Linked DNA regions of Oryzias latipes. The protein of the gene in region 3 binds, or shares a complex with, the protein of the main gene of each other region. Links are inferred from orthologs where the notes say so. Each region holds a gene or a part of one and is shown on either strand. Other genes may lie near its edges. The genes, in order: cwc27, cwc22, bud13 and crnkl1.

Region 1 (7,875 bases), on a different chromosome or scaffold from region 3:
GGACGACTTGAACTGAGAGAGACCGAATTGAAAGAGAGAATCCAGGAAATCCTGCTGTGACTCACTGTGGGAACAACGGTGATGAAGAACTGCGAGCCGTTGGTGCCAGGCCCGCCGTTGGCCATGCTGAGTGTGTACGGACGATCGTGTCTCAGCGTGGAGTGAAACTCGTCCTCGAACTCTCCTCCCCAGATGCTCTCGCCCCCCATGCCGGTGCCGGTGGGGTCTCCGGTCTGAATCATGAAGCCCTGCGCACCGAAAGGAGCGGGAATGACGCCCTGAATGAGTCTGCAGATGCCCGAGGAACAGAGCAGAACCCACCTTGATGACTCTGTGGAAGATGTGGCCGTTGTAGTAGCTGTTCCTGCTGTGAACGCAGAAGTTCTCCACAGTTTTGGGGCATCTAAAAAGCAAAAGGAAGGTTCATTTTTTCCACGCTCTGAAAAGCTGGAACCCATTCGGAATGGGGACCTACTCCACTGGGAAAAGCTTGATGTGGATGTCTCCCATGGTGGTGTGGATGATGGCGCTGTCCGACACCCTCTTGGGGCCCTCGGCCTGAGTAGCTGCCATCACTTCTTCCTTGGATGGCTTCTCGTTGAAGACGTCTCGGTCTGAGTCGGCGCTCTTCGTGTCCTCTGGCTCTCTCTTTGTGAACTTTAATCAAAACATAAACATAAAAAACAACAACAACAAGCAGGTTTCTGGGAAAAAAAAACGGCCCTTTTGCTGTCTTACCATGTAGAAGCGGTTCTTCTTGAACGCCGTGCAGAAGATGGTGGGGTCGGGCTCCACATTCTCCAGGGCGGGGTTGTCGGAGGCCTTCATCTCCACGGTGGGGGCCACCTGCATGGCCTTCGCCACTCCCTGGAAGAGACTGAGGTGAAGCACGCGGATGTTCTCCAGCTTCCCCAGGATCCGCACACATCTGGTGAGGAAGGAGGAAACTTTGAGTCAGGAGTTTCCTGAAGGCCGGCTGCGCGTGACGTCAGCTTGAGGCGACAAACACACGACGACAGGAGTTTCTTCAAATTAAAATGTTTATATAAATGTCCCACCCTGGAGAAAATTGTGTTTTTAACATGTTGTGGGATTTTTCTGATGATGGAGGACATATGTAAAGAAAATAGGGCTTAAAATCGCATTTCAAAGTATTTATTTATTCAAATTGTTGTGAATCAGGAGCAGACGAAAAAATGCAGTTGGAAAAAGATCGTATTTGTGACGTAGAAATCTCGCTGGGGGGGCCACCAGCTCCCTGCTGAGCTCTCGGGAAAGGGGTGGGGAAGAGAAACGGTCCCGCCCACAACTCAGAGGTGAACTTCTAAGAAATGACGGCCGCTCTGCAGAAACTATGTCCTAGAAAATGTCACAGGTTTACTTAAAGACCACTGGGAAAGCTTTAAGAATAGATCCAAAGATGAATGGAGTGAACCTCCACAGCGTAAACTTTTCCTTGGTCTAAAGCAAATGTTCTCATTTGATTTATTTCAATCATATTTATGCTTTTTTTCTGCCAATTATCAAACAAAAATACAATTCTTTAAATGCTTCAACATCACCCCAGCAATTAAAATGAAACCAGCCTAATATGCAACAGTTTCTCAAACTCTGAGGCCGTCCATGCTCTCCCGACGTACCTGTTGGTCTCCACATTGATGACTTTGATGCCGAGCATGGTCCCGTACAGAACGAAGTGGCCGGTCTCGTCAAAGATGATGTTTGCCAGCCGGACTCCGTCCACCTTCTCCAGCTCTCTCTCCACGGCCATCCGCCTCCCAAACTCCATGTCAGGCAGCTGCTGCCGCATTTGCTGCAACTCTGTGAACATCTAACATGTGACGCAGGAGCGATGAGCGACGACCAACACCACACCGAGGAGGAGGAGGAGGAGGAGGAGGAGGATGAAGGCCAACGTACCGTTAAGGACTCGTCGAACACTCTTGCCAGTTTTCCTGTTAGGAAACGGAAGATCCTCACTTTCCTGTCTGAGGCGATGGTGGCCATTCTTTTGCCATCAGGTGAGAAGGCCAAGCTGGTGGGATAGGTCTTGTTTTTTGCAAATTCATACAAGTCAGTGTCAGTTTTGTACTCCCACTGCACGTGCTTGGGAAACTTGAACTCGTTGGGAAGGCCTGTCCAGTATTCCAGCATTCCCGCTTTGTCGGCAGACACGATAACTCGGAATTTAGGATTCAAGCGGATTTGAGTCAGCGGGGAGGAGTGCAGTTTGTCAAAGACGTGAAGGGGCTCGCTGCTTCCCCGCCCATCGTACACAAAGATCTTCCCTGTGGATTTTTCAGAACACGCCACGGTGCAGATGGCGTCCCCGGGGTTGTAGATCCACTCACTCTGTCCGGGGTGAAAGCTGCAAACAAACCCTGCATCAGTGTCTGCCGCATCATTCAGGCTCCACTGCACCGTCATTGGAACTCACCCCAGCTTCAGCATGTTGATCATGTCAAAGTTGACCACATCGAAGACTTTCATGGCCCGATCGTCCCCAACAGAGCAGAAGAGAGCCCCTTCGGCACTGACGGCGATGCTCTCGATCACACCTGCACAAACACAGCTTCACGTTGAGAAGAAAGCCACATTCGTGCGCCTGCAAGATCGAAACGAGGGCGAAAACGAAGGTCTTACCCAAGTGGCTTCTGAAGTGTTTCACAAACTCTATACCCTCATCCTCCTTCTTTTTCCAAAACTTGACGTGGCCGTCTTGGCTGGCAGTTAGGACAAAGTCTGTTCTGGAACAGAAAAGGGACAGCGTGAAAAAGAGAGGAGTGTCAGATAAACGGCACAATTCCTCTAAAGAACATTTTGCCAGAGAGCACAAATTCTAAGTATTTTTACTATTAACTTTACTATAAGGTACATAGAAACACAAAAACTGCACACTCTTTTGCTTCTTTGACACCTGAAGCTGCATAACAGTTCTGATCGACTTGTCTTTCATTTCCATAGTTGCATGATCAGCTGAATGAAGTTACATTTCCACCACTTAGTTAGACTTACTTGGAACAAACTATATGCGTAATAATGTCTCTGTGCATGTAGCTCCGTTCATACATGGCAGCTGAGGGCAGGTTGTCCAGGTAAACACGCTCGTATTCGAGTACTGACACCAAACACACAAAAACAGGCAGAAAAGAGCGGGGGTTAGCGCGGATTAGCACGACTTCTAACAGATGTTTGTCACAGACCAGGGTAAAGCCGCCACCAGAAACCAACCTTTCCGTTTTTTAGTCGTCGTGGCTTCATTCGGCATGGGTCCGACCCATTCGGAATCTTGTTGTTCTTCATCTCCGTCCCGGTTATCTTCAGCCTTTCGCTTCAAATCCACACTGTTTTCAGATTCCGCCATCGTTGCTTCTCTTCTGGTTTGTCCTGTCGTGATTACGGCACTTCCGCTTGACTTCTAAATTCGTTAACCCTTCCAATCGAAGTAAATGCATACATATATAGTAAGTAAAAAATAAGATTAAATTAAATGCATATGCAAACACCTTTTACATTAATATTAGATTTTTTTTCAAACTTAAATAGAGTTTCCACTGAGCGCGATCATGTTTCCGCGGGGCAGTTATCAAAGAACACATGGATCAAACCAATGCAATTGAAGAGGGGAAATAGTTGGAAAAACGTAATTCGTTTGTTTTGTTGTTATAGTTTATTTTTATTTGCATGCTTTAAAATGCGGCGTTTTCTAAAGAAATACCCTTTTATCAAATTCAATTATATATTAAGTGCAAAACGTTTCAATAAGATTATATGTCTACCTTCTGACGTCCCTGTGCACTCGGAAGTAAACAACCCGCGAACAGATGCAGCTAAGATGGCTTTGGAAGTGAAACGATCAAATTAATCTCATGTAAGAAAAACAGTTGTAAGAATCATTCTTTACCATTCGCTTTGTTTTCAGTTAACTAAAAGTACTTTAAACGTATAAATTAGTTAGAAGTCGGGGGGCAAAATGAGCAACATTTACATTCAGGAACCTCCGACGAATGGAAAGGTGAGCGTTCAGTTTCTTTCGCTCCAGAAAAGCCCAACTTTCATGTGGTTTTACCTCTGAAATGTACAACAATTGTCTCCATTAGCTAATAATTAGATGTATTTATTGTTAACTGAAGATTGTATGTTGGAAAATGTTCTTCCAGGTTCTGTTGAAAACATCAGCAGGAGAAATTGACATTGAGCTGTGGTCCAAAGAGGCTCCCAAAGCCTCCAGGAACTTTGTGCAGCTCTGCATGGAAGGTAGGATCTGTCAAAAAGAACCAAAAATCGAGAGTTAAATCTGCCTTTTTGTTTTGTTTTCTTTCTTGGGAAAAGTGATCCAATCTGTGCTGTTTGGGTCTCTATTTCTAACCCTATAGGTTACTACGATGGCACCATTTTCCACAGAGTGGTCCAGGACTTCATCATTCAGGGTGGGGATCCTACAGGAACAGGAACCGGGGGAGAGTCCGTGTACGGCCGTCCGTTCAAGGTCCGACAGTTTCGCTGCTCGCTTCAGAAAAACGTGTGTTTAAGCCTAAGCGAAAACCCTAAACTTCACCTTTCAGGACGAGTTTCACTCAAGACTGCGCTTCATTCGGAGAGGCCTGGTTGCTATGGCGAACGCTGGGCCACACGATAATGGGAGTCAGTTTTTTTTCACGTTGGCGCGTGCGGATGAACTCAACAATAAACACACCATATTTGGAAAGGTGAGCATAACTTCAGTCCATTGTATGGTGGATGTTTTAAGAGCTGCTTATGTTAAAAAAAAGCCTTATTTTCCTTTTGTTTTACTGCAGGTCACTGGAGATACGGTCTATAACTTGCTCAGATTGGCTCAGGTTGAATGCGACAAAGATGAACGACCTCTGAGGCCTCATAAGATCAGATGTGCTGAGGTGATTCGTTTATTCACACCAATCAGAGCAGCTCCTGTATCTAAAAAGTCGTTTTTTTTCCCTTGTGATAATGTTGTGTGCGTCTTCCAGGTTCTGCACAATCCCTTTGATGACATTGTTCCTCGAGAAACGAAGAAAAGCAAAAAGGATAAAGACAAGGAAGAGGCAAAGAAATCCCAGTCAAAAGCCACGAAGTGAGCATTCACTCTTTCTTCTTCCCTGTTTATGCTAAAAAATACAACTATCAGACTTTTATTGTGAATGTTTTTCTCACCTGCAAAATGTAGTTTTCTTGGTTTTAAGTCCATGTGGCCTCGTATTTGAATTCCTCTTACAATCTTGTTGTTTTCTGTGATTGTAGTGGTTTTTGTTTGTTGTTGTGATTTGGATTAATGCTCCAAAAAAACTTTTCCAGGAACTTCAGTTTGTTATCGTTTGGTGAGGAAGCTGAGGAAGACGAGGAGATGGCGAATCAAGTCAGTCAGGTATGTTTCTGCTCTCCACAGCAAACTTTGTGCTGCCTAAAGCCTTAGTCCCAACTAAGAACACACGAATTATCAAGTGAGTGTACTTGTTGATGCATACGGGCATGCGACAGGTTGTAGTTAACACTTCAAATGTATGGGTGTTGTTTAGAGGAAAAGTCACGTGACCCATACAGCCACTGTGTCTGCGTGTCACAGAGAAGCCAAACAAGGAAGCGTATCGTTGCCAGATTCTTCGGTTTTCCACCCAGTTGGGTAATTTTGGAAAATTTGCTTTGGCGGGTTTCGTGTCAACTTGGCAGGGTTCAGTTAGTTTTATTATGAGTCTAAGCTATCTTTTATTTTGAAAAATTAACCTGATCTTTTCTGTTACATTTCAGTCACTTGGGTGTTAAATCAGTTCCGCTGCGATTTTAACAGAGTAGGAAAAAAACAGCTTTTCATGCACCCAAACTTCCAGCTGTTGAACGATTCTCGCCCACCCTGTTTTCCCCGCCCACCTGTGTATGACGTTTTATTTTACTGAATCTTTCCGAAAGGTGTTGAATGTGGTGTTTTTAATTAGGTTTTTGGAATCATTTAACAATTTTATCAAGGATTTAGGCTTTTTCTCCCCCCATTCCTCTCAGTTGGTCCAGCAGAATACAATTCCACTGCATTCTGTCTCTTATTTGACATGAATCATTTTATGTTTTGGAGGTTGTTCAGCAGAACTGTCAAACTTAAAAGCATCTCCCCAATGCTGGATCTTATAGAGCGCGAGACATGGGAATGAGGAACTACGGTAACAAATATTCTGTTTAGTTGATTTAATCAGTAAATCTGTGAACTTTCTTAACTGTGTTGCCTGCAATGATGTTTCTGGTCCAGCAGGAGTCAGTATTGAGTGAAACAGTATCATCAACACAGAATCCATACAGTTTGGCTGATGTGTCAACGCTTCACGAGGCCTCATTTACCCATCACTACTGCAGACTGCGTAAGGAGGCTGTAGGTTCAGCGCACGTGAAACGTGCGCGCTCCTTGCGAAGCCGCCTTACGGTCAGAAATGAGGAAAGTAGACAATCAGAGGGTTGTTAGTTTGGACATCCTACAGACACGTATGACATCTCATGCATGCAGCATTCGCGTGCGGTCAGTAAGCGGCCAGTACTCCCCCCCCCCCCCCAACACACACTCACCCGGTGACAATATATAGGTTAGTATCTATAAAAATTGTGTAAGTACACCTAAAATTGTATCTTTTAACATTAATAAAAGAAAAAAGCAATATAAATCCACTTTCAACAAATATTAACTTTATTTAACCACAGAAACCCTGTTATGGTCTAAAACAGAGAAGTAGCTTTAAGTGTCTGAAATTATTCCTTAGTTAAACTAGAAACATTTTGACCAACTGAACCATTTGATGCTGAGAAAAATAATTCAGTCACTAAATGATATTAAATGTAAATTGATTTGAAACATTAACACAGCTGCACCAATTTATTTAACGTTTTTAGTCTGAAGAAATAGATAAAAAAAATTGTGCTGATTTTATTTTTCTAAATGATGGATTGTTTATTTAAGATATCAAGAAGTGCAGCTGTTTTCCTGCATTACCTGCTGTCTTTATGTCAAATACTGACACCAACTAAACCACAGGCAGACAAAGAATACATTGATGGAAAATAAAGACACGTAACAAATATGTCTACAATAGCTCATAAAGAAAGACATTATTAGCATGAGCTGAGTCATCTAAAGGCATGTGATGATCCTGGTGTTGCGTAACCATGCAGCGCTCCGCGTGCACGTTCCACCTGGCAGCCTGAGCCCACTACCCCTCCCCTCTCCTTCTCACACACGCGTGTGACAGGAGACGGGGGCAGCTGCAGGGACGGCAGTTCACAGGTTTCTGTTACAAACTCTGAGATTTAAATAAATATTCAACCGGTTTTTAGTACTTAATTCTTATCTTTTTGGTTTGGCTCGCTTTTATCACAAAAAAATGACTACCGTAATTTCTGGATTATAAGCCGCTACTTCTATCACACGCTTCCAACCCTGCGGCTTCTTCAATGATGCGGCTAATTTATGCATTTTTTCTAACGGCCGCTAAGGGCGCTCGAGCAGAAAGGGTAAGAGTGAGACAGGGGGAATACAGTATATGTGAATGCTTTGTGAATGGATAGCACGAACAGACCCTCATCATGGAAAATGCAAGAAGAAATGCATATGACGCAGCTTTCAAGTTAAAAGCAGTCGTTAAAAAAATCCACCATCACCAACGGGTTTGGAAAAGCCGGTCTGCTGCTGACGGAGAGGACAGCGCACGCTCAGGAGGGAATTTACCTCAGAGTGACACTGACGGAGTGTGGCAAAGAATATCTGACGCTATTCCAATCCAACACTGAGGAGGAAGACTTCCATGGTTTTAGTGCACAGAGGCGCTGCTCTCAGTGACTTTTACCTGTATGTTTTTTTAACCAGCCCTGTCAGTGCTGTTTCTA
Region 2 (7,897 bases), on a different chromosome or scaffold from region 3:
TGAAAATCATTCAACTCTGTATTCCAAATGTATTATTATTTTAAACATGTATCCAGTATTAAAATAGTGAGTTTAAAAAAGGCACAGAAACAAAGATGCTGATTGAGAAAAACGTATCCTAAATTCTAAAACTCACAGTATTTTTTTTTTCATTCCATGATATTATCAAAACACAGAAAACAAAAATAAAAAGATAATACACGCTAGCCAATCATGATTTTTTTTAAAGTTATTTAATAAACATTAAAAACAAATCCACATATAGGTTGTATTTCTTTTGCTACAAAATCCTCATTTTAGTAGCATGGTGAAAAAAATTAGATTAAAAACCAAAAAGAGATTTAGAGCAGTAGAGGGGCTTTTTTATTACCCTTTTGCTTGTTTGCATGGCTTTTGCTGGGCATTGAATATGTTCCGTCTGCCTTTTAAAGATTTTTCCTATGCAAACTATCTAATTTCTAAATCTTCTATCTTCTAAGCACATTTCACAGTGAATCTAATATGTTATAATACACATCAGAGGTATAATGAAAAATCATCATCATCATCTTCATCATCGTGAGCCTGACCTTTCAACTTTAGCTTGACACTTTAACATATCAGGTAACCTGGGGGGGGGGGGGGGGGGGGAGCTGATGCCACCTTCAGTTTAATAGAAATCAGAAATAATTTTTAGCATGAATACCAAATGTTGCTAATTGAAACTAATTGTAAACCTGAATCAAAATCACTACTTTCATTCAATTAAAGGAAATAACTGTTTTTTAGTTTTTTATGACGATTAAACAATGAAAGTAAAAGTTTTGTAACTGCTGGAAGGTGTTTATTGTTCTGTTTCAAAACTGTTTCCTGTTTTTTATTGTGCAAAGACAGTAAGCAGCAGCCTTTGCTGTGTGGGTGCAGCAGTCTGAACCAGTCACCATGAAAAAGTTGTGTGATGTCTTAAAGCGCAGAAGCTCGGAGGTTAGAGGTTCCAGTAAGTTGTCACGGCAACAGTGATGAGGATGATGATACGATCGGAGGGAGGAGCGACAAACCTGTGTTCAATAATGTGAATTAATTTAGGTAAAGAGGCTGTTAGCTCAGTGATGATTATGTACTATGGGATTCACTCCTTTTTCTGGTCGAGCTACATTTTTAAGTCAGAAAATGAAATGCACATTTCTTTAATCTCTGTTATACATCATAATACTGTGTGAATGTTTTTTCCATACCATGCTGTTATTTTTTGAATGTATGCAGAGAGAAAACCATTTACTGGGGGAGAGAAATGTCAGCCTTTCCAAGGCACTCAGGCATCAAAACACGTTTTATGATGCTAATGTGAAAACATTTCACAGACTCTTTTATTAGAACTTAACTTTTTTTGGGAGATAACCGCTGTGTGCTGCACATGGCATGGAACGTTTGAACTATAAATCTATACTCTAAGGCTGGCTCATCAGTAATAACTAAATCTTACAGACATTGTGGTTCTCCAACATTCACCACTGGTGTAGAAAGGATCTAGATGTCTAAATATTCTCCTTCAGTCAATGTGAAAACCATTAAATAGCCTTGATCTCTGATTCTCCTCCGTGTTTTAACTTTTCCTAACTCCAGTTCTGCTGGTCCGATCCACTTTCTCTGATGAGGACTCATGTTTTACACGACACATTGGTTATTTGGTGATTATTAATTTCTTCAGTTGTTTAGCTGATGATAATTTGTATTCTGTATGGATGTGTTGTAAGTGGGGTATATAGGGAGGAGACGATCTGTAGAGAAAAGAATAATAAAAATGTATTTATTTTCTGTACAAATGTGTTTGTGTGGTTATATAAAGATAAAGCTGAAGAAGCTATGTAGATGACCCGTGAAGTCCAGTCAAACATAACATTTTATTTCGTTTTCCAAGTATAACGAAAACTGATGGGAGACTTGAATCTTTTTTTTAAAATTAAATTCCAGACTGAAATGATTGTTTTGTTCTCAATTACATTTAAACTGCAATAATAAATGAAGCTTTGATTCTGCTCTACAGGCAATAAAACCTGCCAGACCAGAACAAACCACTATCTGACTTCATAGAAGGATGAGTGGATGGAAGTGATTAAATGGCATTTCGGAGGGATTGATCCAAAGTCTCAAAACTCATCTTTCGTTAGTCAGAACTGACGAAGCTTTTTAAAAGGGGAATAAAAGGTTTTATGAAAGACGAGGGCAATTGCATTTGATTCTCTTTGATATTAGTTGAAGACAACTACATGATATTAGAGGAAACAGGAGTGTGGTCAAGAGGTGAAGTCACCTTTCAAATTTGATTGTCTATACCTAGAGAAAATCCTACATCCATTTTCTTAACCAGCTTAATCCCATTTGGGATCACAGGGCTGCTGGAGCCTATCCCAGCTGTTGTTGGGCAAGGATCAGGTACAGCTAGTATAGGTTGCAGGGCTAGGCAACAACACACTCACACCTGGAGAGAAATTAGAATGAGCAACTAACCTACAATGCATTTAAATATGCAGAGGGAGGAATGAAAGACGAGAGAACATGCTAACTCCAAAGGACCCAGCCATGATTCAAAGCAGGCATTTTTCACTGTGAAGAGAGAGGGCATACCACTACACCACCATGCAGCCCTCTGACCATCGTATATGGGGAAAATATATAACAGCTTTTATTCAGTTTGTCATTAACAATCACTAAAAAAAACAGGAGAAAGTGTTCATAAAGTATTGTATAAATATCATACCTAATCAATGCCTGAAGTTTGGTGAGTTTATATTCTGCAACAAATCTTACACCACAATTTCCCTTTAGAATGTGCAGCCAAAATGAAAAGTAATGCTTTTATACAAAGATGATAAATTAATTTGGTTTTAATTTCAAAAGGTTCTAGTTCAGTGTCATCACTGAAAACAAGGTGAGCATCTTTACTACAAATTTTGACCGCTTTATTAGTAAGGTTTGCTGAGCTGTGGTCACCCCTGGCTGCAAGGTGGGCAAAATATCAATGCCAACGACTCTAAGAATACAACCAAAATGTACTTATTTTTCCTAAAAGCTAATGACCACCTCTTGATTTATGTTTTGAAGTTATTTCATTCAGTTCTTTGTACAGAAATGGGAGCTACCGGCAATTTTTTGTTAACATTTGTTCATTTTTGCAAGGTTAGGTCTTAAAGCACTGTTGTCCATTTGTTTTTGTTTTTTCAGTGAGTTTTTTCTCACAAACCTCAGAACAACACTTTCATAAAAACTACTAATCATCAATGTAAAAAATCTTCATCTTTGGAGGATTCAGCATTCACGTCCATTCCAAAGTGTCAATTCAAAGTGTCTGTGTTGTTTGGGTCTGCGATCTGTGGAGGATTTTAAAATATATCTATTTTGTATCATAAAATATAATACATTCTTCACGTCGAAAATTAGGTTTTTATCAGTAGTGCAATATAATTATGGTCTCTGGGCAAAGTCGTTTGGATTCTGTTTTTACTTTTATTTTGAAAGTACAGAGGAGAGTGTGTTAACTTGTGTTTTCTCCCTTCGGCCGAAGTTTGACAAAGCGACACGAAAACACAGGGAGAATTGAACTCCAATCTAATTTAAGCGTTAAATTGAGTCGTTAGTTGAACGTACAAATTACGTCAGTAGTATGACATGTCAAACTTATTAAACAAATCCATTCCCTCGGTTACTCTGCTGTTCCACACAGCAAGAAAACTTTTATTGTGAAATCCGGATGCGCGTTGTGAACCGGAACTACATTTTAAGTTTTTCCGCCTTAACAGGACAGTAAAGAGACATTTCGAAATATAGTCGACAAAGGGAATTTGAAGGCTACTAAACGGCAAGTAACGGAATATAGTTTTAATTCAAAGACTATGAATGAACGATTTTCTAGTTTTACTAACAGACTAGCTAAAAATTAGTCGTGTATCTTTTTGGCGTTTATGTAGCATTAGCAGTTAGCCGAGTAGCTCATCCAGATTCACATGGTTGCCGTCAGTCTCTGGTGTAAAAATTAGTTTGTTTATAACATTGTTAAACAAATCTTTTATTTTCGACTAGTGTTGATATTTATTAGCTTAATATTTGACTTGTGATTAGTTGTAGGTATTTTGTTTCTCAGTGTTCCTGGAGCTACCTGTTGTTAGCTCAGTGGATAATAAAATGACACAATTATACCTAAAAAAATAGATAGCAACTAGGGATCGCTGATTATTTTATTCTTTCCATGGATCTGAAAGACCTTACCACTTCAGAAACTGTTTATTACTACATTTAAAAAAAACATGATTGGTGTGGTTCCAAAATAACTGGTTTGCCATCTAAGTTCTTCAAATGTATGGCTGCCCTTAAGTTAAACTGGAGATTCCACATAAAACAAACAAGTCCGAGTATAAGGCGTCTCAAACTTTGAGCCAGGGTGACACTTTAGTTCGATTCCTACTGCTTGAAAGTAAGAATAAGGACATTAGTGCACTTGAAGTTTTACCAAAATAAGAAAAATAAATTGGCTCTTTTCTTAATCCAGTATTCATGGGCAACCAACCCATGTGTACCTTATTCTCATTCTTTTAAACTTTTTCCGTACTAAATGAATTAAACTGGATTGTAAAATCAAGTCAACATTTATTATTATTATTATTATTATTATTATTATTATTAATGTCACTTATAGTCTTGCTCTGCTCATACCCAATATTACTGTACATTTAGAATTCACCTGATGTTCTGGTTACTGATTAGATTTCCAAAGAGGTTTTTATTTATTTATTCGTTTGCTTTTTTACTTTATTGGCCTTCTTAAGAACCATCCCCACCACCACCACCCCAAAAAAGTCATCCCTCATAATTGTTTATTGATCACAAAAGACTGTTGCATTGATGGGAGATAGATAGTCAAATATAAAAATGTTGTGATTTTTTTCTTCTTCTTTTTAAATGCTTTTAAGTTGTGTTGTGAAAGAAGATTTTATGTTTTCCGTTCACTATACAGGAGATTGACTATTTTTCTGCCTCCTTTTCTTTTAGTGATGGACTCTTCAGATAAAAGCCAAAGTCCCACTCCTCAAAATGAACCACCTAGAGGTGAGTAAAACACTGCCAGAACAATAGTGTAGTAATCAAATGTCGGCATCAGTTGATTTGATATCAAATTGTTATTTGGGTCTGTTCTGGATGTACAGCAGGTGACGAATCCAATCCAGCTGATGGGAGACTCCAACAAGTTAGTGCAGAGGAGGAAAGCACCAAAGAGCAGCAGTCTCCACAAAGAAAGTCTCCAATGTCCAGGAACTCATCCAAGAGCCCCAACTCTAGCAGCTCAGACAGCAGCAGCAGTGAAGATGAACATCATGGTGCACTAAGGAAGATACGGAGTAGTGTTGCTGAAATCAAAGTGAGTTATTTCATATACGTACTGTTTTACAATCAACTTCCAAAAATTTGAATATCATAACAATAGTATGTTCATTTCCATAATTGCATTAAAAAATACACTTTAATAGAATCTAATCTCATGTCCCTTTGTTTAATTAATTTCGCGTATTTATTTGATTTTTTTATTTATTTATTTATTTTGCATAAATTAGGATTCCAGCTTATGAAACCCACAAAAAACAGGATTTCAAAAAAAATTGGAATACTATGGAAATATTTTCCTAAATTTAGCTAGCATGAATGTTTTAAATTGGGTTTCATCAACTAATCACCTACTAAAATCAAGGTTCAATATGGGGAAGACTTTAGACTTCACAACTGGCCAGAAGACCGTCATTGATCCCTCCATAGTCTGGGTAATCAGTCACCAACGTTCCTAGCTAAGGAAGCTGGCTGTTCACAGCTGTCCAAGCAGATCACTGGAAAGTTCAATGGAAGGGTAAAATGTGGCAAGAGAAGATGCAGGAGCAAAAGAGACAACCGTGGGCTTCAGCGGATTATCAAAAGATTAAAGAAGCTCCAGAAATCCAGAAAGAGTGGAATGGGGGGGAGGAACAGCTTTAAGAACCACTACACTCAGACGCATGTGGGAGATGGGCTACAACTGTCGGGTTCCTCGGGTTAAACCACTTCTGAGCCTGGACAAACGGAGGAAACATTTCAATGGGGCCAAAATGAAGAAGGACTGGACTGTTGGCCAGCGGTCCACGGTCCTGTTTTGTTATGAGAGATAAGTGTGCCGTTTATTTGGACTGGTGAGGAGCAGAACCCAAACTGCTAGGGGTCCAGTGTGAAATCTCCACAGTCAGTCCTGATTTGGGCTGCAATTTCCAGCACTGGTGTTGGAAAACTCTGATTTCCGTCTAGCAGAATGTTCTAGAGCAGCGGTCCCCAAACCCCCGGGTCGCGGACTGGTACCGGTCCGTGAGTCATTTGTTAACGGGCCGTGGAGGAAGAAAAAAAAAAGAAGCTTGCATTACTTCCGTTTTATTTATTTCCGAATCTGAAAGATGTTTTATATTGAAAAATTGCCCGATTATCTGTTTTATCCGTTTATGTCACTCTTGATGCAGGCCGAGGCGCTCTTCTCGATCATGTGATAGGTTACAGCTAAAATAAAACCCAGGATCTAGCAAAATGAGTAAAAACAAACGTCTGTGGAAAGTTTCTTTGCCAAGGGGAAAACACCCAGCCTGGGAACAGAAGAGGAGCCTTCCACTTCCAAAAAAAGAAGGCTACATTTAGTAGACAGTACTTCTTTTTTTTTTGCACCATGAATGTGGGAAGGGGAGAGGATGATGACACCTGTACGATGTCATGCGTGTAAAAATAAAAGCTCAGGCTTCGTCTTGCCATGACTCTGGTACTTGTTTATCATGGCATAGCGACCATAATCATCTGTCTACAAGTTTCAAGACGGGTCCTAGGAACCTTTCTGTGACGTCATACCGGTCCGTGGCATTAAAAACGTTGGGGACCACTGTTCTAGAAGACTTCATGATTCCTCCTGCTGAGGATCTGGATGGAGACGCAGATTTCATCTTCCAGCAGGACTTAGACCCCGCCCATATCGCTACAAGCTCCAAAGCCTGGTTTGATGCTCGTCTGGCCTGCCAACTCGATAAACCTAAAGGCCATTGAAAATGTATGGGGTCAAACAAAAAAAGAGCTGACGGCAGCATCAAGAAAATCTGGGCTCCCATAACGCCACAAGCTGATTGCATCAATGTCACAGTGCATCAAGGCAGTTGTTAAGGCTAAGGGATTCCCAACCTAGCAATGAAGATCGACATATCATTTTGAAAATACATTATTTTAATGGATTTCATGTGATCATGACCTCCGTCTTTATCTTCTTGCAAAAGGGGAGATTTCCCCACAGTACCGTATTCAGATTTTCTGAAATCTTGTTTTTGTGGGTTTTATGAGCTGGAACTCCAATTAATCCCCAAACAAATACACTTGAAATCAATTAAATGGTGGGCCCCAAACCTTTACACTATAAAAGTTCAATTTTTTGAAATGAATTATGGAAATTAATACTCTTTTCCATGTAGAAAGTGTCTGTTTTGAATATACTATTTAAGACTCCTTAAAGGAGAAAAAAAGAAGAAAAAACTTCAACTTTTAATGATAATTTTCCACTTGTCTTTCTTAGTTTAAAAAAAGAGTCAACATAAATAAACTATTGAAATTAACTTCTCTGTTTAAATATATTACATTGTGCTGTTAATCCTAAAGACTTGGAAAATCATGTTTTATCTGTCTGGCTTTTCAAAATCAGATGCATCTGGAATTTAAATGTGTGAAGTCTGTCATTAACTTTTTTATTTTGTAAAGGTTTCTTCTTGAATGTCTGAGTGTCCTTATTATATACTTGTCTTAATTCATTTCAAAGCTTTTTTTCTTTTTCTAATGATCAAAATGTCCTCTTTTTTTCTGATGTCACACTATTATCAGTTTAAAG
Region 3 (7,922 bases):
AACCTGCACTGTCCCTTTGGGAGCTGTTTGGGGGGGCTGAAGGGGTACATGAGGACAGATGGACTTGGAACATGAAATGGAGAGGACAAGGTCGCAGACTGTGCTGGTGAAAACCACGAGTTCTTCCCAGCCACCTGCCTTGTGTTTTGCATCGGACACTGCAGAGGGGAGAGACGAATCAGATCTCTGGTCCAGCATCGTCCCTCCCACTCTGTCTCCATCTCTCCTCTCAGATGTGCGATCTTCTGCAGTGCTACTTCAGCTGAACTGAGCAAGCGGAGGGAGGTGCTCGATTTTCCTCTAACGTAAGGTAAGATTGCTGCTTCCAAAGGAAAGAATAATAGCCTTATGGTTATATCCAGATTGCAAGGATTATTCTAAAACATGTGGCCAAATGGAAATAATAAACAGAAGGAATTTTATAACAATAAGGATTGGTCAATACTAAATGAAATGACATATTTAGGTTGTGACTTTAGTCTTTGCCACAGAACCGTGTGAGAGGAGACAAAACAAAATCAAAGTTGAGACAGTCTGAATCTTGTTTTGACATTTGTTTTGGTCACATAAAGATTAAGTTTTAGATTCAGAGCACATTCATGGCAGTTTCACTATTTTTGTTTTGTTTTTTGCTTTATTGGAGCTATAAATTACCCCTTTCTAATCCACCTGTGCAATAAATAGCTTTGTTTCCCATTTACCCACTTCTATTGTGTGCACTCACTTGCTGTGTCACAACAACAGTTTGTTCTTTATGTTGTTTTCTTCTGTTTTCAGTTGAATGGCCCTTTCTCCATCATGATCAAGTCCCTGTTTGTTTATGGAATGGTGGGAGGTAAGAACACAAAGCTGAAGGTGTCTGAAATAAAATCACACATAAAATCAAGCTTGTTTCTGTATAAATGTTCTTTGTTCTTGTCTCTAGCGCTGCTGTTGCTGCCAGTCCAACCAGATCAGATCTCTGTATGTGTTGAAGATGATGAAGACCTGAGAGTAGACTGTATGATCAAGCCAGCTCCTAACAAAATCAACAGCTATGAGTTTTCATGGTCCTCGGGAACCAAGGAGGTTTTAATCAACACCAATGTGTCTGGGTCTAAAGCCGAGGCTCAGTTTAATGATAAAAGCCAAGTGGTGGAACTGGAGCCTCACGGCTACAGGATGACCCTGTCTGACTTCAAAGACAAGCTCCCACCCAACACCACCTACATGTGCAAAATATATGGGGAAATGAAACAAATCACAGTGGAGAAAGGTGGGTGGACTGAAGAGCTGAAGGGAATGAGTGTTAACCAAAAGCTGGCAGAATTTTTCGATAGATTTTTGGTGTGCTTCAATAATTTCCCTCTTTACAGATTCCCTGGTGCCATGCTCAGCAGTGAGCGTGTTTCTGCAGAGATCCTGGTTCTTGATTGGCTGCCTGGTCTTTTTCCTTCATCACAATGACAGCTGATGGCACTGAGAAGAGAACAGTCAGGCTTTTGCAGATACTCACTAAGCTAAGCACTTTCGCTTCTGTCACAGAATAGATCTCTCTTCCTTCTGTAAAAAACACTGGTAAATGTTTCCACTGTAGACGATTTAAATGTTTAGGAGCTGAGAGCTGTGAGTACTGAATGTAAATTAACCATTAGTAGAAATGAAAGTGCAGCTTTTTCGTCGAGGGAGACAGTCTAATGGCAGACTAAGAGATGCAGTTGCTGACTTATTAATGAGGTATTATTGATTTTATGTTTTCTTTTCTTTTACATTAAAAAGCACTAATAGTTTTTGTGGCCTTTTCCTCACTGCAAAAGCAGCAAATTGATTGTGTTCTTGTTTGCTTGTTAATAAAAGAAGAGCTCTGTGAATTTGCTTGTAATCATTTCATTTATGATTGAACAAATATAATTGTTTTGTGTGTTTGTTTGTTTTTGTTGTTTTTTTTAAATCATAAATCAAAGAACACTGTTGACAGATAAATACCAGTATTTGGAAATGTCACATTTTCTCAATGGAGCCTAAATGCATTGTCATTCATGGAAATCATACTAGACCAGCAGCTGGTTATTACTGTCTTAGATAAACAATAACCCATGACATTTAATCTGTCTCTACATATTGGACATGACATGTAACAGGGACAATATTTAGGTCTTTTTGTCTCTGTTATAAAAAGCAAGTAGTGACGGCCTATATTTTTGAAAAAGTTTTAGTGTAAAAAAAATGATCGACAAATAAAAAAATAAGAACAAGAATTGAAATCGTATGCAAAGAAGAGTAAAGACTTTTACAATTCAAAAACATTGCTCTCCTGTCTTTCTAGGCATCGGTGTATGACCGACTAAATTTGTGGGTCAATTAGGGAAATCAGGCAATTTTAGCCTTTTTGGTGACAGTCATTATTTGTATGCCAGTCACTGGGTCCCACCACAGACACAGTCTTGCAGCAGATTGTGGCCCAGTAGTTATCATTTTTAACTTCTTTGGAGTCAACTTTATCTTCAATGTATTTATTTATGCATAACAGTAACTTTTTTGTTATAATAATAATAATAATAATAATAATAATAATAATAATAATAATAATAATAATAATAACAATAATAACAATAATAATAATAATAATAATAATAATAATAATAATAATAATAATAATAATAATAATAATAATAATACAGAAACGCGTCTTCTTCCTCGTCGTCTACATTGACCCTTGACGCGACCCGTAGTTTCCCACAATACAAAGATGGCAGCGGTCGGTGGTGGAACCGGACCCGAGCTTTCTAAAGCTGAGTACTTAAAGCGGTATTTATCAGCTGACGACAACCATGGTGCATCTAAAGGAAAAGGCAAGAAGAAACGAAAAAAGCTTCCTGAAACAAGGTGAGTACCGAAATACTGCGCCGTTTGGCTTTCTGTTAGCATCCAAGCTAGTTTCCTTATGCTAAGCTATTTTTGATTTGGAACTTTGTTTCTATGAGTTTAATCGTTTTTATTTTGTGTTACTTCGTTGTTTTTATCTAGACTTAAAATAGTAGACGATGATATTGATTGGAGACAAATGGTCCAACAGCAGCCGGATGTCGAAGAGGATGAAGAGGAAGCTCCGGTGGTGAGTTAGCTAGCAGCCTTGCGTTAGCATTTCCCCCGCAGTACGGTCTACTATGTTTAACTTTTACACGCATGAAAGTCTGATGGCGATATTTGATTTGATGATAATAAAATGTATGTCTTTCTTTTTTGTTAACATTATTGAAATGTAAATCCAGACGTAACACAGGAATTTCATCTGACGTGAGATTGAATTGATCTGCTTTAATGCAGGATAATCGATGCAAGATAGATTTGACACATTGGTTTGAATGAAATATGTGGGAAACTTGCATTGTGTGTGAAGCAGTCAACACAGATGTTTGAACAGAGTAAATAATGATTTGATTTGGTCTATGTTATGTACATTAAAGTTTTAAAGCCAAGGAAACCTAAATTTTGTACTTTGATTTACCTTCTCAGATTGCAGAGTTCATCGATGAGCGGCCAGAAGAGGTGAAACAGATGGAGGCCTTTAGGACCAGTAACAGATGGAAAATAGTTGGGGGTAACTATAAAAGCAGTATATAAATTTGGCTTCTTTTAAATTATGTTGTTTTTCATATTAACTGTGTTGTTCTGTAGCGGATGAAGACGAAGACAAAACAATTGACGAAGAAAATGAGCAGGAGGAGCCTTTAACATCTAAAAAAAGTCGGCATGACTCACCAGAGCTGTCATCGAAAAGTGGGAGACATGGTTCCCCTTTCAAAAAACCAAGACACGACTCTCCAGACATTTCTCCTCCTAGGAGAGGACGCCATGACTCTCCGGATAAATCCCCTCCCAGGAGAGGACGCCATGACTCTCCGGATAAATCCCCTCCCAGGAGAGGACGCCATGACTCTCCGGATAAATCTCCTCCTAGGAGAGGACGCCATGACTCTCCGGATAAATCTCCTCCTAGCAGAGGACGCCATGACTCTCCCAGCAAGTCTCCTTCAAGGCAACATTTAAGGAAGTCTGGGAAAGTTAAAAGTAAAGGTGAGTTTTATTTTACAGTTAAGATTTTCTTTCTTGCTTTTATACAGAACAATGCTCATTTTGCACAAGTCACTGAAAAAGCTGAAAACGGCATACCAATGCCATTTAAGCATTGAATAAGCTTAAAGCTGGAACCTCTTAGATTTTTGGGTTATAGTAGTTACTAAAAATATCAATAGTTATATTGACACAATAAAATGTTTATGTAAAACACATTTATTTTTTTCTATTTCATATTAGGATTACTAGTTTTGCTCTCTGCACTCTAATATATATAGTGCAAACATTCTCTTTGATTCTCAGAGTCTTCTCCCACTAGAAGGAAGCCCAGCTCATCGTTACACGGTAAACCAAGGTCGCCAGATGATCGGCGGTCTCCTTTAGCTCATAAGACTAAGGTTAGGCTGGATTCAGACTCCGATCAATCTCCTCCACGGAAAAAGCAATCGAAGCGAGAAGCTTCCGACTCTGACCAGTCTCCCCCTCGGAGACGCTCCAGAACAAGGCAGAGATCCGATTCCGACCAGTCTCCACCAAGAAAGCACTCGAGGAGTGGAAAGGACTCGGATGGAGATCTGTCACCACCACGGAGACCTGGCCAGTCTCATGTGAGGGATCTGCGCTGTTCAGGGATTCGTGTGAAACCTAATTTGCAGCACAAACCCCATCTAATATTTTTGTGTGTTTTTCAGGACCACAGGATGCTTTCCGGAGGAAAGGCTGGTTTGGTATCTGTGGAGATTCTAAGGGAAGAGCAAAAGGAAAACCGACGCAGAGAAAAAAAGAATCAACCTCTTGAAGGTTGGCCTTGCTTTTGTTTTTCAGTTTTACTTTTAAAAAAAAAGAGAGTTTGAAACAACCCTTTTCTTATCGTATAACTTTAGACTTTCTATATTTCTGAAGTACCGGTATATGAAAGTGTTTTTATACTATTTATACTATTTACGCATCAGATGAATCTCGTAATGCGGAGACGGTCTTCCGAGACAAAAGTGGCAAAAGGAGGGATTTGACCTCAGAAAGGGAGGAGCAGAAGAGAAAAGCAGGAGAAAAGGCTGCAAAAGATGAAAAATATGCCCAGTGGGGTAAAGGGTAAATCCACAAAACCATACCAAGTCACTGAAAATGCTACTTCCACCACATGTAAGAAGACAAGTTATTGTTTGTGTTTAGGCTGGCTCAGAATCAGATGGAGCAGCAGAAGCTGGAGGACGCCCTGCTGGAAGCCCAGAAGCCCTTGGCCCGTCACCGTGACGACGAAGATCTGGACCGCATGTTGAGGGAGCAGGAGAGGGACGGGGATCCCATGGCTGCCATGCTTCGGCGGAAAAAGGAAAAAAGCTCAAAAACACAAGGTTTGAAACATTCTACAAGTTTTTGTACTTTTTTTTTTTTTTTTACTCTTCTGATGGAAAAATTTGGGCATTAGTACTTCAAGTACAGCAAATATCTCAGTTGCAGTTTTACATGATTCATTTAAAATTTTCTTACTGTTTCCAGACAAACCTCGCTACAATGGACCTACGCCACCCCCAAACCGTTTCAACATTCCTCCCGGTTACCGTTGGGATGGAGTGGACAGGTACAGTTGAAGAAAAACCTCATGGGATGCTGCTTGTCAACTTTTCAGCTCTTCTGCAATGTTTTAGTTTTGCAGTTGTGATGATCACAGTTTTAGGTATTTTCACTATGTAGCAGTGGTCCCCAGTTCCCGAGACGCGGACTGTATCCATTCATGGGGTCACTTAGTACCAGGCTGCAGACAAAAAAATTACATATAGTAACTTAGATTATTTCCTTTTTTTATTTTTTATTCTGAAAGTAGTTTTATTTTGGAAAACTACTTGATTCAATTTGCCACATGTGTCTATACTCTTGTTCACTCGCGCATCGAAAATACATCCACTACCTTCTTAAAGCGGCTTCTCCGACCTCTTAATAAAAAGGTAACTAAGTTAATAAGAAAAAACATCTTTGGAAAGTTTTTTTGTGGGAGAGAAAGAAGCCATTGAGAAAATGAAGGAAGAGTTTTTGACTTCAAAGTAAAATCAATTATTTACAGATAAAACCAGGAGTCTTCCTCCAAATATGGATTCATTGCGATAGTTGTTCCCACCTACAAAGCCCACTTTGCATAATATGCGTTGACTGACTCTAAAGTTACACATACGCTGTTAAAAAAGTTGCAAACACAATGGATTCACATTTTGCATTTTGCGTGTAGAAAATGCCAGTTTCATGACAGTTGTGTCATTTCATTTAGTGTTTTTTGTTTGGCACACCTTGAAGATGCGGCTGACGTTGGCACTCAGATGTTAGCCTCCATTTTGGAGTTTAAGTGAAAATTTACATCACATTTTAATGGATCCTGAACAAAGTCTAAGTTTAAACCAGCTGCAAATATTTTACAGAGAATAAGGATTCAATACAATAACATTTGAGAATGTTTCTACAGCAGGTTTTACAAATTAGGTAGCCACCTGGTAAGAACAGAAAATACTCTTCTGTGTTTATGATTAATTTTTTTTGCCCTGAAAGATAATCTGAGCCTGAATTATTATTTTTTCTGCGTTATAACGAAATTAAAATCTGTAATGTTGCCTTTAATGAATTTTTACAAATCAGAAACAACTTCAACAAATCAACAACTTTGTCATTGAACTTTCTTAATTTGTAAAACATTTATTTACTGGCAGTTTCAAAGTCTTTAAAAAAAAATCATGATTTAGCATTTGAATTTAAAAAATACATTTTTTAGAAACCAGACGCTAAAAAAATTCAACCTCTTCGGACTCTGGTCCATATAAACATTTTCTGACATAAAAAAATTCTTTATTCTCTTTGATCGTATCAGCTTGGAAGTCATGTCAGCCCAAAGTTCAAGTAACTTTGAAAGAATTCAGTCTCTCTGGTCTCCCATAGCTAACTCCATGACTTAGGGGGTGGGGGGCCTGGTCGTCGCTGCTACTTGTCTGTCTGCCGTGGTTAGGGGTCGGAGCCTTCCGGTGCCCAGTGGGGGGCGGAGGGGACTCCGTTAGCCGGGGGGTCGGGTCCGGTGCCTGGGTGGGGCGGGCCGGGGTAAACATTTGATTCTTGCACATTCTGCTTTTTATTCCATTTATTTGTTTGTATTGTCTGCCCACTTTAAATAGAACTATTCTAAATTTCAATATAACGTAAAATATATTAAATGAAAATAAAGGCATTCTATTCTATACCTGTTGGGGACCACTGCTATATAACATCATTTGTGTGCCCTGACAGATTGCAGATGGATGTTTTTGTTTTTTTCAAAACAGCAGATGTAATGGAAGGATTTTTTTTTGTGTGTTGCAGGTCGAATGGGTTTGAAAAGAAGCGCTACATGCGTTTGGCGGATAAGAAAGCCATGCAGGAGGCAGCTTATAAATGGAGCGTGGAGGACATGTAAAGGCACTAGACCATCGTGTAGATGGAACTGCAAACGGACACATCTCAACAAAAAAATGACCCAAATGTTCCACCTCATCTTTCCAAATCTGTTTCATTACAGAAAACTGTACACAGAAGTAATGGATCATAGTGGCTTTATTTTAATTAATGTACAAAAAAAGAAAAATACTTTTGTGTCTGTTTTAATAAACTCGATTTTTTTGTAAATGTTCCTTCAAGAGTGTTTATTCTCCCTCTGAGGTTTGGATGTTAAAGGACTAGTTCTGCCAGTTATTCGTGCTGTGCTTCAGGCTAGTTATGGTGTTATGGAGGCTTTGTTTTTGCATATTTAAAGGACCTCCTGATCTGACGATGAGACACCAAAGCCTAAAATCATAAACTGATGTAATATCACAGATCAGAACAAGTTTTAATTGTGTGGCAGATCAAAGATA
Region 4 (6,504 bases), on a different chromosome or scaffold from region 3:
AGACGTGTGATTTGCAGCCGAAGAAGAATGGTACTGACGAAAAATTCAAGCTGTACGCGACCTTTCCAGTAGAGGGCGCTCCTAAGTCTCTCGTGGTCTTTTTACATTGAAGTCCTTCTTCTTCTCTGCTCGGCTTACTGTAGTTAGCAAACATGACAACGCTGCGACCCTTTACCTGCGATGATTTATTCAAATTCAACAACATGTGAGTACAATCCTGACTGTATGTTTACATGCTGGATTAATTTAAAGGCAAGGAATCTCACGAGAGTTTGTGGCTGAAAAATAAACATTTGGAAGAAAAATATTAGCTTCTTTTTGCTTCGACTCGAGCCGGCTGAGTTGTGCTGTGTCGACGGCTAACATATAACACTATGCATTAAGGATATTTTTACCCCGGATTTTTAAAACAAGTTCTACATAAATAGCTTTTTTTTTTTCACCCCTGACATATTGTACAAAAATCTTGCGAGAATTGTTCTGTGCTTTAAAGTAAACAGCGTTGCTCTTGTTTTGTTGAACAGAAATTTGGATCCTTTAACTGAGACTGTATCCTTTTCGATGAGCTTTCAATTCATCGTTGGTTAAGAAGGTATATCATTATATATTATACAATAATAAATTTCAAGTGTAAATATATAAGGAAATATGCAAAAAGTTTACATCTTGTTATCTGTCCTCTTGAGATTATGGTTTTTATTTTCTTAACTTTTAAGTCTTGTATTAAATATTTTAATAACATTTTATAACATTAATAATACATTTCTCAAGGAATGATTCCTTAACTATTTGTGTAGTATTATTTGAAATATACAACACTATAGTGTGTGCTTATAAAAAACGAGTTTTCTTGACCCTTGACCTCCAGTATGGGATCCCATTTTACCTGCAGTACCTGGCTCACTGGCCAGAGTACTTTATTGTTGCTGAGGCTCCTGGTGGGGAACTGATGGGCTACAGTGAGTTTTCCATGTTTCCTTACAATATTCCTTATGGTTATTGAAAATTTGATGAGCCACAGAGTTGTTTTCGCTTTTTTATTCAAATATAAAAAAGGAAAAATCCGTTTCTAAATACCGAGTTTGATGTATACAAGTTGCCCTTTAGTAGTTTTGACAGTTTGAAGCATCACATCTCCCATTGGACCTGTTTTTTGCAGTAATGGGGAAGGCAGAGGGATCTGTTGCTCGCGAGGAGTGGCACGGTCACGTCACCGCTCTGTCTGTGGCTCCGGAGTTCAGAAGGCTCGGGCTGGCCGCCAAGCTCATGGAAATGTTGGAGGAAATCTCAGAGAGGTTTGTATCTGGAAAGCTATCTGATTTTGATCATTGTATTGACCATTCTCCTTTTGTCATTTTAAAGGAAGGGAGGATTCTTTGTGGATCTGTTTGTGCGAGTGTCCAACCAGGTTGCTGTAAACATGTACAGACGTCTGGGTTACAGCGTGTACAGGACAGTCATCGAGTATTACTCTGCCAGCAACGGGGAGCCCGATGAAGATGCTTACGGTAACACTTAGAGCTGAATTTATTTTACTACATACATGAGAAACAGCAATCCCTGTTAGTGGAAATTAACCTTTCATTTTAATTTAGACATTAATACATTATTTAGAAATATTGAAAAGCTTAATTTTTTGAATCCTTTAAAAAAGAAACCATTTATTTATGATCAGTATTTGGGGTTTGATAAATGCATTTAATGCCCTTAGTATGAATAAGTTATTGAAATAATTATCTGAAGACTGTTATGTAGTCACGAACACTTGAAAATTGACATTTAACAAATGTGTAGTCTTAACAGGTCAATTTTACTTCTTTTTTTTTAAAGTAAACTATCAAAGGAATTTTTTTAACAAATTAAATGGATTTAGCTGTAAAATGAAAAGTTTTTCTGATTTACAGCCAAATAAAATGCAAAAAAAATACACGTAAATTCATTTTTCCCTAGTGTTGGAAAAAAAAAAAATATATATATATACTTTTTACTGGAAAGAATGATTTAAAATAATCAAACTGATGATTCTTTTTGCAGATATGAGGAAAGCTCTGTCCAGAGACACAGAGAAGAAGTCGATCATCCCGCTGCCACACCCGGTCAGACCGGAGGATATTGAATAACATCAGAGTGTGGCTCTCTGACTCGGATCTGCCGTCTTTATTCTGCTGTGTTGTGATTTCAGCTGTAGTTCAGTGACCATGTAAATAGTGAAAATGACACACAAGCGCCTTTTTTTTCTGCTTCAAAGTCGGAGAGCCACTGAATGTACAAAACGTTGCAGTTTTTAGTTTTTATTTCTTATAAATTTGAAAGAAAGTCAGTTGAGAAAACACACAAATGAGTCTAAGCGGTGTAACGACACAGAGAAAAGTTGCAATAAAGATGGCTCGTGAGCTGAGTTTTTTAAAAAAATGTAGAAAATCCCTGCCTGCTTTGACTGAATCTAATCTTTGTCCTCCTGAGGGCTTTTGCTCTGCTTCTTCTTTGCTTCCTCATCTTCATCACTATCACTGCTGCTGCTGCTGTCCTCGTCGTCTCGGTCATCATACGTTTTCTCCTGCTCGGATTCAGTCATGTTTCTGGCAGGCTCCTCCTCTGCCTGCTTGTCGGCGAGGCCCGTCTCCTCAGCCTCCACTGATGTTGCCTCTTCAACACTCCGACCTTTTTCTTGAGGCTCGTCGGTGTTTATCTGCTGCCTCTTCCACATCTTGGCCATCGCGAGCAGCTTAAGGTTGGGCTGGTTGGCAGCATCCTCTGGGAAGATGTAATCGTAGTATTCTTCCCAGCCTGCATCCGACTGATGGAATCAGGAAAATGGGATGAAAAACATTTCTTTTGTTTGCATTTACGTCTAATATTTGTTGAGTAGCTAATTTTATTAGGATCTGATGTGGTTTAAAGTTAAACAATTAACAAGAAAAAGGTGAAATTTTCACGGTCACACAGCGAATCTTGTCGCTCTTCTGGAGCAACAGTCACATTTTCCCTTTTGATGAAAAAGAATTTCGTCTCCTTGCTTACCCCATCTTCAGCGGTCAGCTTCCTCCTCTTCTTGACCTTCTCGGGCAGCAGCTTACTAACTCGTTCTCTGCTGCTGTCTGAGCCAAACTCCTTCTCATAGTCTCTCCAGGACTCCAGCAGCATCAGCCTCTCTTCTTTCTCCTCACAGTTCCTCATGCTCTTGTTGGCTTCCTCGAAGATCTGCCGACACTTCGCCAGCCGGTCAGGTCCATCGACTGACAGCTCGAATTTGGCATAGCTAATCCAAACCTGAGAAAGACAATGGTATAAGTCACTTGACTGGGTGAAAAACATTCAATTTAGGCTTTTTTTGTTTGATGGAAAAAGGTAGTTTCTCAGATCACACAAGGACAGTGGGAGAGATGGGAAAACAGAAGAGTTCAACTTTGGTTAGAAACAACATTTGATATTCTACTATCTGTCAAGTTAAAGATACAAACTAAGACTTAAGCTTAATGTTGGCACATTAATTTGTTTTTTTTTCCAATGATATAAAAGTTTAAAATTAGATTTTCAAAAATAATAACTATAATTGCATTAAATCACAACTAAAATGAGAATTCTTTTCAAACATATAAGCAGTTTACTCACCTTGACATGTTGAGTTCTCTGCAGCAACCGTTTGTAAAGGTTTCTTGTGTTTTCAAACTCTTCCTGCTCTATTTCAAAGTCTATGTAAGATTTCCACAGAACCTAAAGCAAGGTTTAAAAAACAAAGGATGTATTTAGGTAAAGTAAGAACAAATGAGATAAAAAATGAGGAGAGTATTAAAAAATTCTAATTATTTAGCATTTCAGTAGCTGTAACTCCTACCTCTGGCATGTCCAGTCGTGGCTGTCCAATCGCGAGCTCAAAGATCGCTCGGGATCTTTCCACGTCTCCCAGGATTGTCTCCAGCTCTGCAAACTTGATCCACGTGGTGCAGTTTTCCGGACTAAACTCCAGGTACTTCTCGTAGAGTTTCCTGCAGCGGTCAAATTCTCGCAGCTGCAGCTCCAGTTCAATGTAGCCCTTCAGCAGTTTGTTCTTGGGGCATTTACCAATGGCTGTGCCCTGAGAGGACAGAGGAAGGTGGTGGACCAGTTTTTGTCGTACTAGTTAAAATGGATACCAAACACCTATTTTTGTAAGTTGAACTAGATTAGTTTATGTATCAAAGTTCAACTTTAAATTGTGTGTTTGTCTCCTTAGGGAGTCCCTTGTTTTGAATAAATTTCACAGCTGTAGTGCAAAGACATGCTAAAATAAAAATCATATAACTTACAAAGAAATATACAAAAAGTTCCTTATCATCAACCAACACTGGTTTAGGAATATCTCTAAATACACGCGTGCATACATTTTTATACGGCCGAGTTTTCACCATCTTACCATAATCTTTCTAGCTGCCTGCAGATTCTTCTGTCTGATCTCAAACTGGGCGAAGAGAAGCCAGATCTTGGCAAACGTGAACTACAAAAAAAAAAACAAAGCAGGCGTCACTGTAAGGTTATGTCAGCAAACCGACCTTTTTTTTAAGAAATGACAAGTATTCTAAAGAATACCTTTTTGTGAGGCATAAGATCCAGACAGGCCTGGTAAACCTGCCTAGTTCTCTCTGGATCCTGTCAGGTGATTTAAAAAAAGGGTAAAACTTCTTGTTTTTGATTGCTCTGATGCAGAGGAGTCAGTATTTTTCACTTTCATTTGTTTTAAGATTCTCCAAGTGAGCAGAGGTGAGCATGCAGTTCCTTTCCCATGTGCTTTGGAAAGTAGACATGAGGTGAATGAAGAACCAACCTTGACTTCTAGTTCTTCGTACAGAGCATAGTTGATCCAGAGGTAGATGTATCGCCTCCAGTGCCTTTTCTCTTGAATGGGAGGGATGTTGGCGATGGCTCTCTCATAAACATCTCTGACCGTGTCAGGGTCTCCATCGCTCTCCACCAGGCGCAGGTAATCAAACCAGGCATCATAGTTGAGTGGGTTTGCCTGAAGAAGATACGAATCATGAGAATCCTTGTGTTTGAAGGCAAGAACCCTTTCCTCTCTAAGATCAGTAGTTGGTATGCAATGCTGTACAGCAAGCTAACACCCGACTGCATCTTTTAGATCAAAATCAGGTTTTAGTTTTATTTCTACCACAGATTAAGATGGGTCATTTTCAGAATTTATCATGTAAATCTGATCTGGGAGAATTAATAGATTCTTAGATGAACTAAGATTCAGATTTCTTTGTTTCATGCAGTAATTAAAACACAAAAAAGATACAACAACGATCTACAAAATGCTTAATAATTAACATTCAGTTAATTAGAAGTTGAGCTCTTCACAAACTAACACTTTTTTGAGCCACAACTCATGTTGCATCATTAATTTATCTGACAGAAATCTTCACATTTAGGTTTTTTTTTTTAAATGTCATCCAAATGAGCCTAAATTTGTTGTCTTGTCAAACTCCATGTTCTGCTTGTTGTTGGGTTTTACCCAGCTTCCATTTGACATTTTTACCTTGACCTCCTCTTCATACTGAAATCTTCGTTTGTTGATGATCACATCCTCAATCCCCCTGCGGTCTCCAAACTTCTTCTCAAACATGGTGTAGTTTTTGAAGAGTTCCTGCGCTTGATTTTTCGGAATCTTGTCCAACGCATACTTATAAATGACTCGAACCCGCTCGAACTGCATAGAAAAAGAAACTCTGTGTTATTAGAAGCCATGATTGCACATGGAAATACAATAAATTTTTCTTGTACCTCCTTCTGCATCTCCTCAAATTTGGCAAAAGCCACAAAGAGGTTTTCGTTGACGTGATCCTCTCCATAGAACTCCGCTGCTCTTTCGTACACCTTCCTGCTATGAGCAATGTAGCCATGTTTCTCTTCAAAGCGGGCATACTTGATCCAGTTCTTCACTTCAGGGTGAACCATCACAAGTGCGAGGAGTCAAGAAATGTTATGTTTCCAGCAAGATTACCCATGTTTCTGTTCATCCTAAAAAGGTTGCTAGTAATTAAATGGCCTTGGTATTCTGATTGTAAGTCAATGTCTGAAAAGGCCTCATCTTGTCTGGAAAATGTGTGGTTATAGAAGAAAAAAAACTATAAATTACCTAGTAACACAAACAGATGTCAGCAGAAGTTCAATATGTTGGCTAAAGTTATTACTTTAATTTTTTTCTACTGCTCAGTTTACTAACGTTCCTCTAAATAAATTTGGGTTGCAGGAAGAAAAGCAGTTTCTGTGAGGTCAAAATGGTCAAATAAATGATGTAAAAGGATATATCGCTCATAAATGGTGCGGGCTTTGTCCACCTCCTTGTAGCGAAGTTCAAAATTGATGTAAGAGTGCCAGGCCTGTTCATCAGGCTCCCACTCCATCCAGCGCTCAAACGCCTGCCTGCAGCCGGCAACGTTACCCAACATCTCCTCCATGTATGTGTACTTGTACCTGTTCAACAGAAGAATACTTCTTTAAAATAATGCACAAACTGGACAAAAGAAG

Evidence for each region.
Region 1: bud13 (region 3) and cwc27 share a complex: the UniProt entries of both Homo sapiens proteins name them as parts of the activated spliceosome. The link is inferred for Oryzias latipes from reciprocal best matches to the Homo sapiens genes BUD13 and CWC27.
Region 2: bud13 (region 3) and cwc22 share a complex: the UniProt entries of both Homo sapiens proteins name them as parts of the minor spliceosome. The link is inferred for Oryzias latipes from reciprocal best matches to the Homo sapiens genes BUD13 and CWC22.
Region 4: bud13 (region 3) and crnkl1 share a complex: the UniProt entries of both Homo sapiens proteins name them as parts of the minor spliceosome. The link is inferred for Oryzias latipes from reciprocal best matches to the Homo sapiens genes BUD13 and CRNKL1.

What each region holds. Positions count from the first base shown.
Region 1 is NC_019870.2:3,044,105-3,051,979, reverse strand, and holds the start of cwc27 (peptidyl-prolyl cis-trans isomerase CWC27 homolog), read left to right. Parts: upstream 1-3,618; 5' UTR 3,619-3,973; coding exon 3,974-4,015; intron 4,016-4,160; coding exon 4,161-4,257; intron 4,258-4,376; coding exon 4,377-4,489; intron 4,490-4,565; coding exon 4,566-4,709; intron 4,710-4,799; coding exon 4,800-4,898; intron 4,899-4,988; coding exon 4,989-5,092; intron 5,093-5,313; coding exon 5,314-5,383; intron 5,384-7,875. Other genes in the region: ppwd1 (peptidylprolyl isomerase domain and WD repeat-containing protein 1), read right to left, coding at 66-248, 322-403, 476-657, 739-928, 1,641-1,831, 1,921-2,368, 2,438-2,558, 2,644-2,747 and 2 more. UniProt on the Homo sapiens protein: As part of the spliceosome, plays a role in pre-mRNA splicing. Probable inactive PPIase with no peptidyl-prolyl cis-trans isomerase activity. As a component of the minor spliceosome, involved in the splicing of U12-type introns in pre-mRNAs.
Region 2 is NC_019879.2:6,702,497-6,710,393, reverse strand, and holds the start of cwc22 (pre-mRNA-splicing factor CWC22 homolog), read left to right. Parts: upstream 1-3,714; 5' UTR 3,715-3,835; intron 3,836-5,022; 5' UTR 5,023-5,024; coding exon 5,025-5,079; intron 5,080-5,177; coding exon 5,178-5,389; intron 5,390-7,897. UniProt on the Homo sapiens protein: Required for pre-mRNA splicing as component of the spliceosome. As a component of the minor spliceosome, involved in the splicing of U12-type introns in pre-mRNAs. Promotes exon-junction complex (EJC) assembly.
Region 3 is NC_019872.2:13,067,616-13,075,537, reverse strand, and holds bud13 (BUD13 homolog), read left to right. Parts: upstream 1-2,699; 5' UTR 2,700-2,728; coding exon 2,729-2,865; intron 2,866-3,006; coding exon 3,007-3,094; intron 3,095-3,495; coding exon 3,496-3,580; intron 3,581-3,657; coding exon 3,658-4,056; intron 4,057-4,359; coding exon 4,360-4,664; intron 4,665-4,748; coding exon 4,749-4,857; intron 4,858-5,009; coding exon 5,010-5,148; intron 5,149-5,229; coding exon 5,230-5,411; intron 5,412-5,556; coding exon 5,557-5,638; intron 5,639-7,392; coding exon 7,393-7,486; 3' UTR 7,487-7,695; downstream 7,696-7,922. Other genes in the region: uncharacterized protein LOC101171185, read left to right, coding at 799-835, 926-1,255, 1,356-1,453. UniProt on the Homo sapiens protein: Involved in pre-mRNA splicing as component of the activated spliceosome. As a component of the minor spliceosome, involved in the splicing of U12-type introns in pre-mRNAs.
Region 4 is NC_019882.2:16,312,156-16,318,659, reverse strand, and holds the end of crnkl1 (crooked neck-like protein 1), read right to left. Parts: intron 6,451-6,504; coding exon 6,284-6,450; intron 5,937-6,283; coding exon 5,758-5,936; intron 5,684-5,757; coding exon 5,513-5,683; intron 4,994-5,512; coding exon 4,802-4,993; intron 4,627-4,801; coding exon 4,567-4,626; intron 4,475-4,566; coding exon 4,394-4,474; intron 4,076-4,393; coding exon 3,836-4,075; intron 3,715-3,835; coding exon 3,613-3,714; intron 3,271-3,612; coding exon 3,022-3,270; intron 2,798-3,021; coding exon 2,444-2,797; 3' UTR 2,276-2,443; downstream 1-2,275. Other genes in the region: naa20 (N-alpha-acetyltransferase 20), read left to right, coding at 153-205, 525-549, 869-959, 1,160-1,295, 1,363-1,508, 2,035-2,120. UniProt on the Homo sapiens protein: Involved in pre-mRNA splicing process. As a component of the minor spliceosome, involved in the splicing of U12-type introns in pre-mRNAs.